Caenorhabditis elegans: one gene and its partners. The protein of the gene in region 3 interacts with the protein of the main gene of each other region in a pairwise test. Each region holds a gene or a part of one and is shown on either strand. Other genes may lie near its edges.

What was found. Proteins that work in one complex are often made in the same cells at the same time.
Region 1: the proteins of cir-1 (region 3) and mep-1 interact in a two-hybrid assay, tested with the Caenorhabditis elegans proteins (one study listed by BioGRID).
Region 2: the proteins of cir-1 (region 3) and mog-3 interact in a two-hybrid assay, tested with the Caenorhabditis elegans proteins (one study listed by BioGRID).

What each region holds. Positions count from the first base shown.
Region 1 is NC_003282.8:11,522,810-11,528,497, forward strand, and holds mep-1 (MOG interacting and ectopic P-granules protein 1), read left to right. Parts: upstream 1-1,832; 5' UTR 1,833-1,833; coding exon 1,834-1,956; intron 1,957-2,002; coding exon 2,003-2,345; intron 2,346-2,393; coding exon 2,394-3,336; intron 3,337-3,380; coding exon 3,381-3,877; intron 3,878-3,931; coding exon 3,932-4,224; intron 4,225-4,295; coding exon 4,296-4,709; 3' UTR 4,710-5,145; downstream 5,146-5,688. Other genes in the region: thum-3 (THUMP domain-containing protein), read left to right, coding at 5,247-5,312, 5,359-5,688. UniProt on the Caenorhabditis elegans protein: Has a broad role in development, specifically in the genetic pathway SynMuvB that negatively regulates specification of the vulval cell fate. Required for fem-3 3'-UTR-mediated repression in the regulation of the sperm/oocyte switch.
Region 2 is NC_003281.10:5,306,716-5,311,679, forward strand, and holds mog-3 (Pre-mRNA-splicing factor CWC25 homolog), read left to right. Parts: upstream 1-1,886; coding exon 1,887-2,050; intron 2,051-2,110; coding exon 2,111-2,524; intron 2,525-2,569; coding exon 2,570-2,635; intron 2,636-2,684; coding exon 2,685-2,780; intron 2,781-2,825; coding exon 2,826-3,042; intron 3,043-3,746; coding exon 3,747-4,030; intron 4,031-4,247; coding exon 4,248-4,362; 3' UTR 4,363-4,421; downstream 4,422-4,964. Other genes in the region: Putative RNA exonuclease pqe-1, read left to right, coding at 4,545-4,614.
Region 3 is NC_003279.8:5,653,317-5,657,699, forward strand, and holds cir-1 (CBF1-interacting co-repressor CIR N-terminal domain-containing protein), read right to left. Parts: upstream 2,542-4,383; 5' UTR 2,505-2,541; coding exon 2,338-2,504; intron 2,291-2,337; coding exon 2,001-2,290; intron 1,952-2,000; coding exon 1,451-1,951; intron 1,325-1,450; coding exon 600-1,324; 3' UTR 512-599; downstream 1-511. Other genes in the region: F55F8.3 (Periodic tryptophan protein 2 homolog), read right to left, coding at 1-31, 76-188, 243-260; wdr-12 (Ribosome biogenesis protein WDR12 homolog), read right to left, coding at 2,750-2,876, 2,941-3,073, 3,124-3,249, 3,304-3,625, 3,735-3,829, 3,881-4,005, 4,058-4,164, 4,216-4,310 and 1 more.

The DNA of each region.
Region 1 (5,688 bases), on a different chromosome or scaffold from region 3:
GTGTACCCGTAGTTAAAGAAGCGGAGAAAGATCATATGAAATTCGGAGGGTCGAGGCGATAGAGTATTGCGAATCGAGAATCTTTGAGAAAACGCGCGAGTTTTGCCGCAGCGGCGACGTGTCGCCAATTTTTCCAAATTTGAGATAATTTGTAGTCCGAGTTTTTCCACCTGCTGATTCTAGTGTTATAGCTTTTATATGACGTTTCATCCATCTGTTTCGACAATACAGTAACCCGTCGAGAATGAATATTCGGTTCTCTATTTAGCTGCAATTGAATCTTGAAAACACAAAAATTTCAAATTGAGCGAATGTGTGGCTGAGAACCAACGTTCACTCCCTTGCTATCGAAACTGCACCTGTTGCGATTTCGTGGCGAGACCCGAGGAAATACTCAATTAATAAATACAACGGTGTCAATCCCACATTGACTGATCTTGCAAATATCTTTCTTCATTGTGTCACTTTTTTTCAGAAATGCAGTTTTTCCATTAGTTTATAGTGCCCAGCGAGTAGTATATCCTCAGAAATGTTGATCCTCATGATTATAAGGTCATTATCGTTTCAAAACATGAATAGTCATAACTTTTCTCTCACAAACTTTTCGAATGTATCCTAGAACTGCTGAATCTCACAGAAACCTAAATTACGAAATCAGGTTCTAATTTTTATCAAAAATTTACAAACCTACGAGAATTCGATTTAACTTGAGAATGAAGAAAGACGCCAACTTCAATTGAAATGCACCGAATTTAGTTCAGGTTACTATCATTTGTATTCTAGATGCAAAGGAATTCACACTTCCAGCTGATATAGCGCTGATCCTAACACGATCCTTTCAACATCTTAGATTTTCGTTTAATGTTTAATCGGAATTTATATTTAAGGCCTGTAGAAATTTCCTAGAAAACGCTATAGAAATATTTAGCTGATTCTCAAGTTTTAGGAACGGGCGTCTTCCTGGTAGAAGATAGTTCGCAGCCCATAAAGACAGCACCCGGCCTAACCGACAATGGCGGTTATGAATTTTTAGACCATTTAAGGTTATGATGGCGAGACCACAACAACCCGTCGCCACGCACGTCACGCTCACAAAACACTCATTCATGCGCTCACGGAACGCTCACACACTCATGACATACACACATCATTTCGCCTCACACACCGCGCCGTCGCCATCCGCACCGCCCGGGTGGGACGTGTTCAAACTTTTCGGTTTTCGTAATTAATAGTGAGCCCCGGTTTATTCGCTTTGAGAATCAGTATAATGGATATATCAGATTGTGTAATTAGGTTGCGTGCTTGAACTTTTAAAATTAACTGTTTTAAATTTATCTGCCTTTATCGTTACAGTAAATCATTTTGATGAACTTTTCGGATGAATCATAATGAAGTACGCAGCGCTCTAACAAAATGTGTTTGTAAATTCCAATTGCTACAAGTTGCCCGGCTTATTTTTTGGTGATTGAAGCATGATTCTGTTGACGCTCCCGACGCGGAATACCAGGACGGACCGATGAGAGAGTACTGCCAGTGAAGAGACGCATGCGAGCAGGACGAGTGCTGCTCACCCTTCTTCTCAGCGTCGGCGGCTGCGACCAGCGGCCGAGGAAGGGGAGGAGAGAGGCCGATTTGGCTGCGTACCACGTTTGATACTCAGTCACTTACCACAGCTGGTTCTCTTGTGCGTTCAAATCTGGCTTGCCGCGCGCGCGCATTTTATTCCTACCAGTTTGAATCTCCCACCTCTCCGACTGTAACTGTCCTAATTTGCTTCCTTCTCATCACTCTCTCTTTGCCTATTTCTCACTATCTAGACTCTATTTTTCCAGAATGGTCACCGCCGACGAGACGGTACTCGCCACAACGACCAACACCACTTCCATGTCTGTGGAACCAACGGATCCGAGAAGCGCTGGTGAATCGTCCTCAGATTCGGAGCCAGACACAATTGAGGTGAGGAAAAGTTTTGGGAATTTAAATCTGAATAAAACGTTTTCAGCAGCTGAAGGCAGAACAGCGCGAAGTGATGGCCGACGCGGCGAATGGTTCCGAAGTCAACGGAAATCAAGAGAACGGAAAAGAGGAAGCGGCATCTGCAGACGTGGAAGTGATCGAGATAGATGACACCGAAGAGTCTACGGATCCCTCACCTGATGGATCTGATGAAAACGGTGATGCTGCATCTACATCGGTTCCAATCGAAGAGGAAGCGCGTAAAAAGGATGAGGGGGCTTCCGAAGTGACTGTGGCATCATCTGAGATTGAACAAGACGATGATGGCGATGTTATGGAAATCACTGAGGAGCCGAACGGAAAGTCGGAGGATACTGCCAACGGAACAGGTGTGTTTTATAATTTTACCAAGTTTAATTTTAACTTTCTATTTTCAGTTACTGAGGAGGTGCTAGATGAAGAGGAGCCAGAACCTTCCGTAAACGGAACAACTGAGATCGCTACAGAGAAAGAGCCAGAAGATTCTTCAATGCCTGTCGAACAGAATGGGAAGGGTGTGAAGCGGCCTGTCGAATGCATCGAACTCGACGACGACGATGATGACGAGATTCAGGAAATTTCTACCCCTGCCCCAGCTAAAAAAGCTAAAATTGATGATGTCAAGGCGACAAGCGTTCCAGAAGAGGACAACAATGAGCAGGCGCAGAAGAGATTGCTCGACAAGCTGGAAGAGTATGTGAAGGAGCAGAAGGATCAACCATCCAGCAAAAGCCGAAAAGTTCTGGACACTCTTCTCGGAGCAATCAATGCGCAAGTTCAAAAGGAGCCTCTGTCGGTTCGGAAGCTGATCCTGGACAAAGTTCTCGTTCTCCCAAACACAATATCATTCCCACCAAGTCAAGTTTGCGACTTATTGATTGAGCACGATCCCGAAATGCCTTTGACGAAGGTTATCAACAGGATGTTTGGAGAAGAAAGACCAAAGTTGAGTGATTCCGAGAAACGAGAGAGAGCTCAGCTGAAACAACATAATCCTGTTCCAAATATGACAAAACTGCTCGTGGACATTGGACAGGATCTCGTTCAAGAAGCTACCTATTGTGATATAGTTCACGCGAAGAATCTTCCAGAGGTGCCAAAAAATCTTGAAACCTATAAGCAAGTCGCTGCGCAGTTGAAACCAGTTTGGGAGACATTGAAACGCAAAAATGAGCCGTACAAGTTGAAAATGCATCGATGCGACGTCTGTGGATTCCAGACGGAATCAAAGCTGGTTATGAGCACTCACAAGGAGAATTTGCACTTCACAGGATCCAAATTCCAGTGCACCATGTGTAAAGAGACGGACACGAGTGAGCAAAGAATGAAGGATCACTACTTGTAAGTTTTTTTTTTTTCATCTTTCAATATTCATTTAATTACAGCGAAACTCATCTTGTTATTGCAAAATCGGAAGAGAAGGAGTCCAAGTATCCATGTGCAATCTGCGAAGAAGACTTCAATTTCAAAGGTGTCCGTGAGCAGCATTACAAGCAGTGCAAGAAGGACTACATTCGCATTCGAAACATCATGATGCCGAAGCAAGACGATCATCTCTATATCAACAGATGGCTCTGGGAGAGGCCCCAATTGGATCCCAGCATTCTTCAACAGCAGCAACAAGCTGCTCTTCAGCAAGCTCAACAAAAGAAGCAACAGCAACTTCTGCATCAACAGCAAGCAGCACAAGCTGCAGCCGCTGCGCAACTCTTACGGAAGCAACAATTACAACAGCAACAACAACAGCAACAGGCTCGTCTTCGTGAGCAACAGCAAGCGGCCCAATTCCGGCAAGTGGCTCAACTGCTGCAACAACAATCAGCGCAGGCTCAACGTGCACAGCAGAATCAAGGAAATGTGAATCATAACACTCTGATTGCAGGTAATAGCTAAACATATTTTAAATAAGTATTTTGTATAATTATTTATATTTCAGCAATGCAAGCGTCGTTGCGTAGAGGTGGTCAACAAGGAAATTCGCTGGCAGTTTCTCAACTTCTCCAAAAGCAAATGGCAGCTTTGAAGTCGCAACAAGGAGCTCAACAACTTCAGGCTGCGGTGAACTCCATGAGAAGCCAGAACAGTCAAAAGACGCCAACACACAGAAGTTCGAAACTTGTTACTACGCCGTCTCATGCTACTGTTGGCTCTTCTTCAGCTCCCACGTTTGTATGCGAAATTTGTGATGCGTCAGTGCAGGAAAAGGAGAAGTATCTACAGCATCTTCAGGTAATTTTAAGAAACGTTTCTATTTCAATTTCAAAACCGATTATTAAATATCTTAAACATCACATTTTCAGACTACTCATAAGCAGATGGTTGGAAAAGTGCTGCAGGACATGTCGCAAGGAGCTCCACTGGCATGTTCTCGATGCCGTGACAGATTCTGGACTTATGAAGGGTTGGAGCGGCACTTGGTGATGTCGCATGGTCTCGTCACTGCTGATCTGCTCCTCAAAGCGCAAAAGAAGGAAGACGGAGGTCGATGCAAGACATGCGGCAAGAACTATGCGTTCAACATGCTTCAACACTTGGTAGCTGATCATCAAGTGAAGTTGTGCTCGGCTGAAATCATGTACTCGTGCGATGTGTGCGCGTTCAAATGCTCGAGTTATCAGACTCTGGAAGCCCATCTCACTTCAAATCACCCAAAAGGAGATAAGAAGACATCAACACCAGCAAAAAAAGATGATTGTATTACTCTGGATGATTAATAGGAAAACGAATGGCTTATCCCGTTCTACGAATGAGTGCTGGAAACATTCTTCACAATGATCTCAATTATTTCTCTTATTCTTTACATTCAATCATTTTAAATCACCAGTTCTCCCACTTTCATTGATATACACATTCTATTGCGGGTTCCGGAACCGAAATCAATCAGTACTTTACTTTATTTCCCCAATTTTTCTCTTCATGATATCTGGTTTATTCTCGCATCTTCCCCTACCTTCAAAACTCCCTATTTTTTTTTCAAAACCTAACTACCCCACAATTATCATGTAAAATCAAATTGCAATTCCCCATAAGACAGATCAGTATACACTTTCACTTCATACGTCTGTTGTTCTCCCCCATCTCATACTTTTTTTACCATTTGTCCAGTTAAGATTTTTGGAAGATATCTATCATATAAATATTATCACCTTTACAAACCATTCTTTTTGAAACTATTTTCAGAAATAAGATTCAGATTTTCTCATAATATTTGGAGGAATCTATTTCAACAGATACGAAAGATATTCAGACAAATGACAGACTCCGTTGAAATCTGTGCTGCTGTCATCACCGGTTTTGAAAAAGTTGCAGCAAAAGAGGTAAATCCTGAAAACTAGATAAAATATCTTACTCGAGTTCCTTCAGATTTCAAAATTATTTTCGCCTAAAAAATGCCATCCAGGACGTGGAAATGTAAGATTTTCAATAGATCTGGAACGTGTAAACGAGACTCTGCAACTTCGATCAATCGATAATCTTTATATGGTTTTTTATGAAGAAACAATTGAAAAGCTGTCTGAAATGCAAAAAGAAGATGCATTGAAAACTATTCAATCGCAAATTTCATTTTGTAACTGGAAATTGGCAATTGAAGCTTATCAATTGGCACGTGGAAACGCGATTAACGGAGGAAGTGAAAAGATTTTGAAACAGATTCAACAATTTAAAAAAGATCGAATATATAGTGAAGTTACG
Region 2 (4,964 bases), on a different chromosome or scaffold from region 3:
TGATAAGCCACAACTGATAAGCTTTAATTAGCCAGCTTCATTGGTCCCTACGGAACAGCTTCATCTATGCGAGGCCTAAAGATGCATTCGTTGGTTTCATTCGAATCGAAATTCTGAATTACTCCTAATTTTCCCCTGATTTCGAATATCTAAGGGAAAAAATTCAAAAATATTTCGGAACTCCCACGATCAAGCGAGATGGTATCCGGCTGGATTTAAATATCTTCTGATTGGACATATTGGGGGTAATGGGGATTTGATGAAGCTTATCTTGTTATGTAGGTTTAAGTTAGTGGGAAACGAAAAATTCAAAGTAAATTATCAAATTTTTCTGTAGAATAGGGATACGTTTTCTATTTATGTTCCTTTGCTTTTTCATAATAATATAAATAGCCTTTTCATTTTTCTCCACTCATATGTTAATGCAATGAAGACAAAAAATCATGTTTCCTTCCGCCAGATCTTTAACACAAAAATACGAAACATCCTAAGAACAAAAAGACGAAGACAGAAAATCAAAACATGTGACAGCTCATTGATCCGCCCACTTTTTTTTGTTGATATTTCGACGACATTCGGTTTTGCTCCGCCTCTCACAAAGTTTTGTATAAAATCACAGCGTCTTGGACAGATTTAGTTCATCCTTCTTTCCTCATACCGGGTATCTATTTATTTTATTCCAGCTCACCGTGATGTGTCCGAAATTACGGTAGTTTGCAAAATGCATACACTAGAGTAATTCATGTGTCTGATGCCTTAACATTTTCAAAGCGATGCTAGGAAAAATTGTCAACTGACAAAGTGTAGCGAATCTCACACCTGTTCCTGGGCATTCCTCTTTTTTTAACAAGTCGGACGATCGAAATTAGGTCTTTTCTGGTGTCTTTTAACATCACATATTCCTCTCCCTCCCTTTCAAAATCTCCCCGGCAATTGTTGGCTCCGTTAGTTTGGGTATTGTGCCTCAGATTTGCCTTGAATTTGTTAGTTTGCACATTTCTATTTTTAATTTCGAAAAAAGTTACACAGATCGAAACCACAATTGAACAGCTTTTCCTTTTTCGTTACGGTTAGAAAAATTCATAGGAAATGAATTTGTTCGCTGTAAACTTTTTTTTCGTATCTTCGTTTACGATAAAGTTACAACAATGAACTACGCAATGAAACAGTTGTCTTTGGTGACCTGGAAAAGGTCAGCTGTTATATATAACGCACGGAAATACGGAGATTAGGAAATAAACGGAAACTAACTTTTTCATAATATGTCGTTAATTATGTTAGTTGCCAATTTTCTCTAGTTTTATTCTGAAAAGGTTAGACTGTAATTCATCTTCAATAACCGAGAAGTTATAGAAGTTCTTACTTATTGATTTAGTTTAACCAACTTACTTGGTAAACTAACTTTCAGTTCCCAGCAACACATTTCAGCCAATTTTAGTGCCAAACATCTAGAAAATTTGTTCCATATTTGTAAAATTTTATAAAATTGGAAAAAACCAAATAAAAACTGAGTTAATTTGGCTATTTTCAATGTTTTTTGGTTTATATATTAGTATGAGAGCGATGGAATTTGCTGCTCCTTAACACCAAATTCGAAAAACACTCTTTTAAAATTAATTTTTCTTTCCAATCATTGAAAAGCAAAAAAAACTGTGAATTGTATTAAATCTCCCCTTCTCCATTTGAAATACCGCGCATTTCACCAACAATGGCCTAGAACCACCGGTGGCCGGGAGGCCATGGCCGAGTTTTGACCTATATTGATTTTTCCTTAGCAACCGGTTGCGCAACGCGTTTTGAAGTGTAAACTCGTGGTTTTTGATGGTTTTTCTTCGCGATTTTTACATTTTTCGTTTAAAATCGTTCATTAATCGATTTTTGTTCAGATGAGCAAAGATGTATCAATCGGGTGGATGTATGAAGGCGCTAAAGGAAATGTACACCGAGAAGACTATTTACTCGGAAAGAAAGTTGACAAGAACTTTGAAAAGTATTCCGATGTGGTGAATGCGCAGAAAGCAGAAGCAATCGATTCGATTGTTGGGACAAGGTGAGTTAAAACATTAGGAAATTGATTATTAGCAACAAAAAATCAATTTTTAGTTTTCAGGGCTGTCTTCAATTCCGGACAATCAACGGGTTTAAAAACTTCTTCACTTCAGAAAGATATTATCAAATCCGAAGATCCATTTGTCGCCGTCAAGGTTCGAGAAGAAACAAAACGTCGGGAAATCATGGATAATCCTCTCACAAAAATGCGACTTCAAGCCGCGCTGAAAAGTATGATGACCTCAAAAGCAGAGAAAAGTAAAGAGAAAAAGAGTAAAAAAGACAAAAAGAAGAAAAAAAAGAAGCGATCGTCGAGTTCCAGTGATGAAAGCAGTGATGAACGGGTAGAAAGAAAAAGAAGACGCTCGCCATCGCCGAAACGAAGAAGAAGACCCAGCGAGAAGCCCAGAAAGCGTTCTAGATCGCCCAGAAGAGAAAGACCAAGATCTCCAAAGCGATCCCGTGAAGAGTCCAGGTAAAAATTGACAATTTTGATATCAATTTATCACAAATATTTCAGAAAATTGTCCCGGAAACCTTCCAGTTCTCGATCGAAATCTCCAAGACGATCCCGAGAGGATCCCAGGTACGCATTTGTCGAGTTTTTTTTCTCATAGAAGATGATTTTTTTCCAGAAAAGTTGCCAGAAAGCCATCCAGATCTCGATCAAGATCCGCAGAGCGACTCCGCCGGAAATCCAGGTCTCCGAGGCGATCCAGAGAGGAACCAAGGTAGAAATCGCCGGTAGTTAGTCTAAAACTTCGTTTGTTTTTCAGAAAAATGTCCAGATCCCGCTCCAGATCTGCCGACAAAGCGAGCTCTTCAAGACAGTTTGATTCTCACATTCCACGTCACCTGCAGCAGCAACGAAGTCGTCATGATTCGAGCTCAGGCTCAGAATCTGAGCACGAAACTCGGAGCAGTCACCGCCGCCGGAATAGTGATGATGACGAGCGACAGGATCCGAGAAAGAAGTCATATGGCTTGGTTGAGGTGAATTCGCTGTTCTAAACATTTTTCTTACAGGAATTTTTAGTGAACTAGCATATTAGATTTTCCGTCAAAAAGTGAATTTTGCATGCTTTTTCAGATTTTTTCCTCGAACAATTCGAGGATTAACAATAATTTCAGTAATGCTGATCCTTTTTCAACAGTTTTCATCCCAATTTTATTTTTTTGTCACATTTTCACGAGGAGTTACAGGAATTTTCTGATTTTGAAGTGATTTTCTTATTTTAACACCTATGTTTGCTCATTTCTAACACAATTTACTTTCATTTTGCCCATTTTCCGTCATTCTCAAGCTATTTACACGTGAAAAAAGAAATCATCTGGAAATGACATATTTACTTCGAAAATCTGTATTCTCATTGAAATTGGTCAACAAATTCACTGATTTTATTTTTTGCTCCGTTTTCTGAAGTGGAAATGTCACGAAATTCGGTTTTTGATCGAAAAGCTTAAAATGAGAATCCTCCGTGTTTTCCCCATGATTTCTTGGATTTTCTATGCTTTCAATTCTATAGATGAAAGGAAACTATTGATTTTTTGACTCCAAAATTGAATTTCTTATATTTTCTCAGTTTTGAACAAGAACGTTATTTAAGTTTCAAACCATTTCCAAGTTATTTTTTGCGAAAAAATGCTAAAAGTTAAAGAAAAACGAATATTTTTCAATTAAATTTGTTTATTTCCAGATGCGAAAGCGAACAGCCGAGGAACGTGAAGAAGAGTCACGGGCGCCCACCAAGGAGTACAAGCTTGTCAAGATTCCCACAGGACGTGGTACCGGCAATACGCCAAGAGAGCCGCGACGAGCATTGAGTGAAGCAGAGAAGGCGGCTCGGCTCGCCGAAATGCAGCAGGACAACGTGAAATGGAGGGACGAGATTCGCGAGAGAAATGTCACAAAAGGACGGAAAGAGGATGATGAGGAGAAGGAAGAGGCGGATAAAAATGGATATGCTCCATCTTTTATTAGGTTTGTATCGAACGGCAGAGAAGAAAAGTATGCAGTTATTAAAGTTCTGGCTGAAATGCATGGTTTTGCATCATTTCCGTCTTTATTTATTCCCCAAAAGCTAGAAATTCCCTATTCCCCATGCATTTTTATCAGTGATCACGCTGGTTTTCACTTGGAACAAGCTTTTAATACAAAAACTGTGAAATTTCCTGTAAAATGTATTTTTTAATTACAGATCTCAAATGCGCGAAGCCTGTGACGATATGACAGTGGAGAAGCGTCTACAAAGTAATAAACGCGGTGTTCAACGAGCACACGGGTATATGGATCGGAGTTTTGCGAAGAAATGAGCAAAAATTGTTATTTTTAAACTCCCATGTTTTGTTGATTATAAAATATTGATTTTCTTGTTCTTTCCCTCACTTTCTCTTTTTTTATTATGGAATTCCGGTCGCAAACCGAGATTATTATCTTTTTATTGCTTTATTTTATTTTTATTCTCTTAATAATCATTCCAGCAAGTATCTCAGCCATGTTTAATGGCGGCTATGGATCTGGAAACAGCTTTAATCTTCAAAACTATGCACCAATCGATCCGATGAGTGAGTTCAACTTTCCACCTTTTTCTGAAATATGCCTTTGTTTTTGTTATTTTTCAACGGTTTTTATAATATTTCTATTCGTTTGAAATTGTTGAAAAATCTGTTCTGGTACTCTTTTCCTAAATTTTCTGCTTGATTTTTTGCTGAAAATATTTTTAAAATTAATTTTAAGAATGATTTTCGCTTTGGAATTCGGAAAAAATCTAATATTCGTATGATTTTCTTCAGAAAATGTTTGTTTCGAAATCGGTTACATTTTTCACTTTGAAATCCCGAAAAATCTTTCTAATCTGTGACCGAATCAAATTTTGATTTTTTTCTCGGAAAATTTAACAAAAATAAATCTAAAT
Region 3 (4,383 bases):
GCAGTCAATATCCAATGTTTTTGAAGTATTGCTGAAAAATTATATATCAAATGTGAATATAAAATTATTTTTTACTTTCTGAGATCAAAAATTGATAGCTTGTTGCCAATAGGTGAAATCACTGAGTATCCATCTTTGCTGAACGCCACTTGACCGTCTCGATACACTGTACCAATGCAATTGGACAACTAAAATGGGTTTGGTGGAATATTAATTGAATAATTAACGCTTCAAATAATTACCTTGAAATTAGTGTCCATAGTGAATGGCAAGACTTCAATGAAACAAGCTGAAAATGGAAGAAATAATGAAAACTAAAATATATTTTATTTATATAAAATACAAAGCACGAATTCCGCGCTAAGAATCTTCATTGGCGCAATTCTCGTGCGTTGACGCAATTGCGGATTTTAGAAGTATCGCAATGAGAGATAAAAACATTTCCATTGAAGAATATTCTTAAGAATATTATTTATAAAACACCAAATACAAGAAATTTATAAACAGCAAAAATGTGTGAAAATACTTTATTAGACATGACGGAAAAAATTTAAAAGAAAACCACATTTAATAATTTTAAAAATTGATTTGAATAGCGTTCATTTATGCGACTTCTTTCTCCACATTTTCGGTGATTCAGATCCATCACGATCAGGCGATCCGGAATCATGACGACGCCTTCTCACAGGCAACTTGTTGGGCGATGGACTTCTACGACGTCGGATCGGTGACGTAGAAAGACGCCTTGTTGGCGGGGAATCGGATGGTGAACGTCTCTTGCGCTGTCGTTCTGGTGATGGAGATCTACGTCTTCTTGGTGATGCAACCATCGGAGATGATTGGCGACGTCGCAGTGGCGAGTATTGTTTTCTCGAACCCAGCTGACGATTGTCAGGAGACGGAGAACGACGTCTTCTAACAGGGGACACTGATCGTGAATCATGACGGCCATTTCTTTTTTGTTCTGGTGAATGTTTACGAACACGCTGACTTTCCTTCCGAATCGACGATGGACTTCGCCGTCTTCTCACTGGTGAATCCTGACGTTGTTTGGGTGAAGATTTCCGATCTCGTGAGCTTCTCCTCTCCGGCGATTTCAACCCGATACTTCTTTTGGCGTTCGGAGAATCATCTCTTCGAGATCTCTTCCTCTCTGACGATCTTACTTCGTTTGACGATTCTGAATCATTATGCGCTCTTTTTCGGCTCGAATCCTTTCTTCCATGGGAATTCTCGTCTTCTGATAAAACTTCCTGCTTGATATACTTCGATCTGTATTCCGGAGAACTTTCCACTTCTCTTTTGATCCTTTTCGATGATTTTTCTGAAACATGAACTGGTTGAAAAATCGAGAAACTAATAACTACTCTAAGCGTTTCGTTAATATTTGATATCAATGAACAAGTGTTTAGGATCAAATTAATTATGTAAAAACCTCATCTTTAAATACCTTTCCAATCATCCTCACTATCGCTGCCATCAGAATCGTCATCAGTTTCACGAGATTTGCTCTTCTTATTTTTCTTCTTATCTTTCTTCTTGTCTTTATTCTTCCGTTTCTCTTTCTTTTCCTTCTTCTTCTCTTTTTTACTCTTCTTCTTCATTACATCTTCCAAATCTGCACCGCTCATCAGCTTCTTATGCAATTTCTTTTTTTCCTTTTCAGTCATCGAATTGAAAAACTCCAGCATCATTTCTTCTTCGGTCATTTCTTTTTTCATTCTTGTTAGCTGTTGATCTGTCTGCATTCCAGCCAAAACAGAACTTTTGAGTTTGATTCCATGTTCTTCACGCATATCACTCGCAAGTTGCTGATGATCCATCCACTCATCCTCATCGTCATCTTCTCCTGTCGCCGCAGCAGCAGACGATTTCGATGTTGAAGGTCCTGCTTTGCCTTCCTGTCGTCTCCGACGAAGATCTTTGATTAGGTCTGATGGATTATTTGCATCTGAAAATTGATTTTACACATTTAATTCGATTTTTTTTCGGAAACTTACATCCTTCATCTTCAAAATTTCCAGATTTTCCGAACAATGGACATTCTCGATCCGTATTTATATGACCCCATTTGTGGCATTTACAGCATCGAACATTTCTAACTTGAATTCCGAATGGTTGATCTTGGATCTCTTCATTTCCTTTAGCCCAATCTTCACGTGGTGCTTGATATTTCCGTTGCCATTCGAATTTCGGCTCTTCTTTCGGTTCTTCTCTCTTTGTCATTCCAGCTGGAGCATCATACATGAACGATAATCCCATTTTGGCCTTTTCGTCTCCAAGAAGAGCTCTGAAAAATATTTATAATCTAGTGAGAAGATATTGAATGCAACATACTTGTTATTCAAAATTTCTTGCTCTTTCTCATAAGCAACTCGAAGTTCTTCTTGTCGTTTGTCCTCCAAAGACTTCTTCTGTCGTGCTTCCCAGACCATTTTGAGATTCCGAAAAGCGGATGGATGGAAGTCCTTTTTGGACATGAAGTTTTGAAAACCCTTCCCCATTTTGCAACGCTTTTGTTTTGATTCTCACTGAAAAATTCTGAAAATACTTGAATGAAAAATTGAAGAAAGAAAAATAATTGAAATATTTAACACAGTTCAAAACTGTCAGAAGGTAATGGAAAATAAATTCAAGTGGATAACTTCATAAAAAGTTCAACAAAAAATCAAAATCAACAAATAGAAAACGCGGTATATAGAAAAAAAAACAATATAAGAATTTGTAGAATAACAAAAAACAAAACAAATCAAGCAGTCTCAAAGATTTTGATTGTGCAGTCTGCGGATCCAGTTGCAATTAGTCCTTCATTCCACGTGGCACACAAAATACGATCATCGTGTCCATGAATGTCGAACAATGAAGACTTTGAGGATCTGAAACAAACCGAATATTAAAGTAAAAACTGAATGGTTCTTTAATTTTTGAAACAAGACCTACCTTACATCCCACATTTTCGCAGTTTTGTCGGTGGAAACACTAACAAATTGATTTGTATCCAACGGATTCCATTTGACAGCTTCAACCCATCCATTTTGATGTCCAATGAATGATTGTTTAACCATACTTCCATCTGAAATGTTTTATAAATACAAGAGACTAAATAAATATTAACAAACAAACCTCTATTTTTTGGATCATAAAGTCTTGGAATAGCATCAGTACAACTGGAGATGAGAAGATCACTCTTCGGATGAAGATCAATGCTTGTGAATGATTTGGGTCCTTTGATCCGCGAAATTTCACCAGCTTGAATGAAATTATTTTTTGTATATAAATAGGATATTTATCATTAGAACTAACCTAATTCCAAATCCCATTCAACAATAGTATGATCCCACGAGCACGAAAATGCGTGTCCAGAATTCCATGGACACCATTCGACTGCGGATACTTTGTCACGATGCCCTCCAATCGTAACCATCGGAACTTTAGTTTTGGTTTCTTTCTTTCGGCGTTTCTTCGCACTTTCTTCTTCTTCTTCTTTCTCATATGTTGTTGCTTCATCAGATGCATCCAAGTTCCAAATTTTGAGATTTGTGTCGACTGATCCAGAAATCGCACGGGTCGAATCCGAGTTGACTGAAACACATTCGACGGCACGTTCATGACCACGAAGGATGAGCTGGAAAATTTTTATTAAGAATGAAGTAATGACTGCAAAATAAAAAAAAAGAATTTTCGAAACAAAATTTATTGATAAAACTGATAACCCCGAAATTCGAACACCTAACCTTCTCAACAAGTGCTCCTTTTTCAATTGCATAGAGAGTCAGCAGTTGATTTTCACCGCCGACCACAAATTCTGTACCGTCCAATTGATTTTTCTCTGAAACAAAAATTATCGTTTTTTTAAATTTCAACTAGTGTTAAAACTGACTAGATGGTGCTTTGACGATTGAGATGCACTTTAAAAGACGATTTGCTGAATTAACAGCCAACTTTGTCTCTTTTCCTTTACGATCCACAATTACAATGTCTCCTCCGTAGGTTGTTGAGAAAATGCTGAAAATTTCAGAATGAGACTTTTACCAAACATTAAGCGGAAAAAACATACTGGCCGTTTGCGATTTGTACCGAAGAAACCCAATCAGGCGCTTGGATATCATGAAGTGGTTTTGGAGCTTCAATTCCAATTACGCATTCCACTTTAAGGATTGTTTCCTGCAGAGCTTGTTTTATTAAAACTCTAAACTTTTTTTAAATGAAATTTACCGTTTCCACTTCGTATTCCTCGATGAATTCAGCTAGACTCGTGCGCAAAAACGTTTCACCAACCAGAAATTCGAATCGCCGCTCTTTCCATGCACCTGAAAAATAAAATTGTATAACATTTTTATTTGAAATAGCTGAAATAAACCATCATTGGCTTCAATAGTCTTG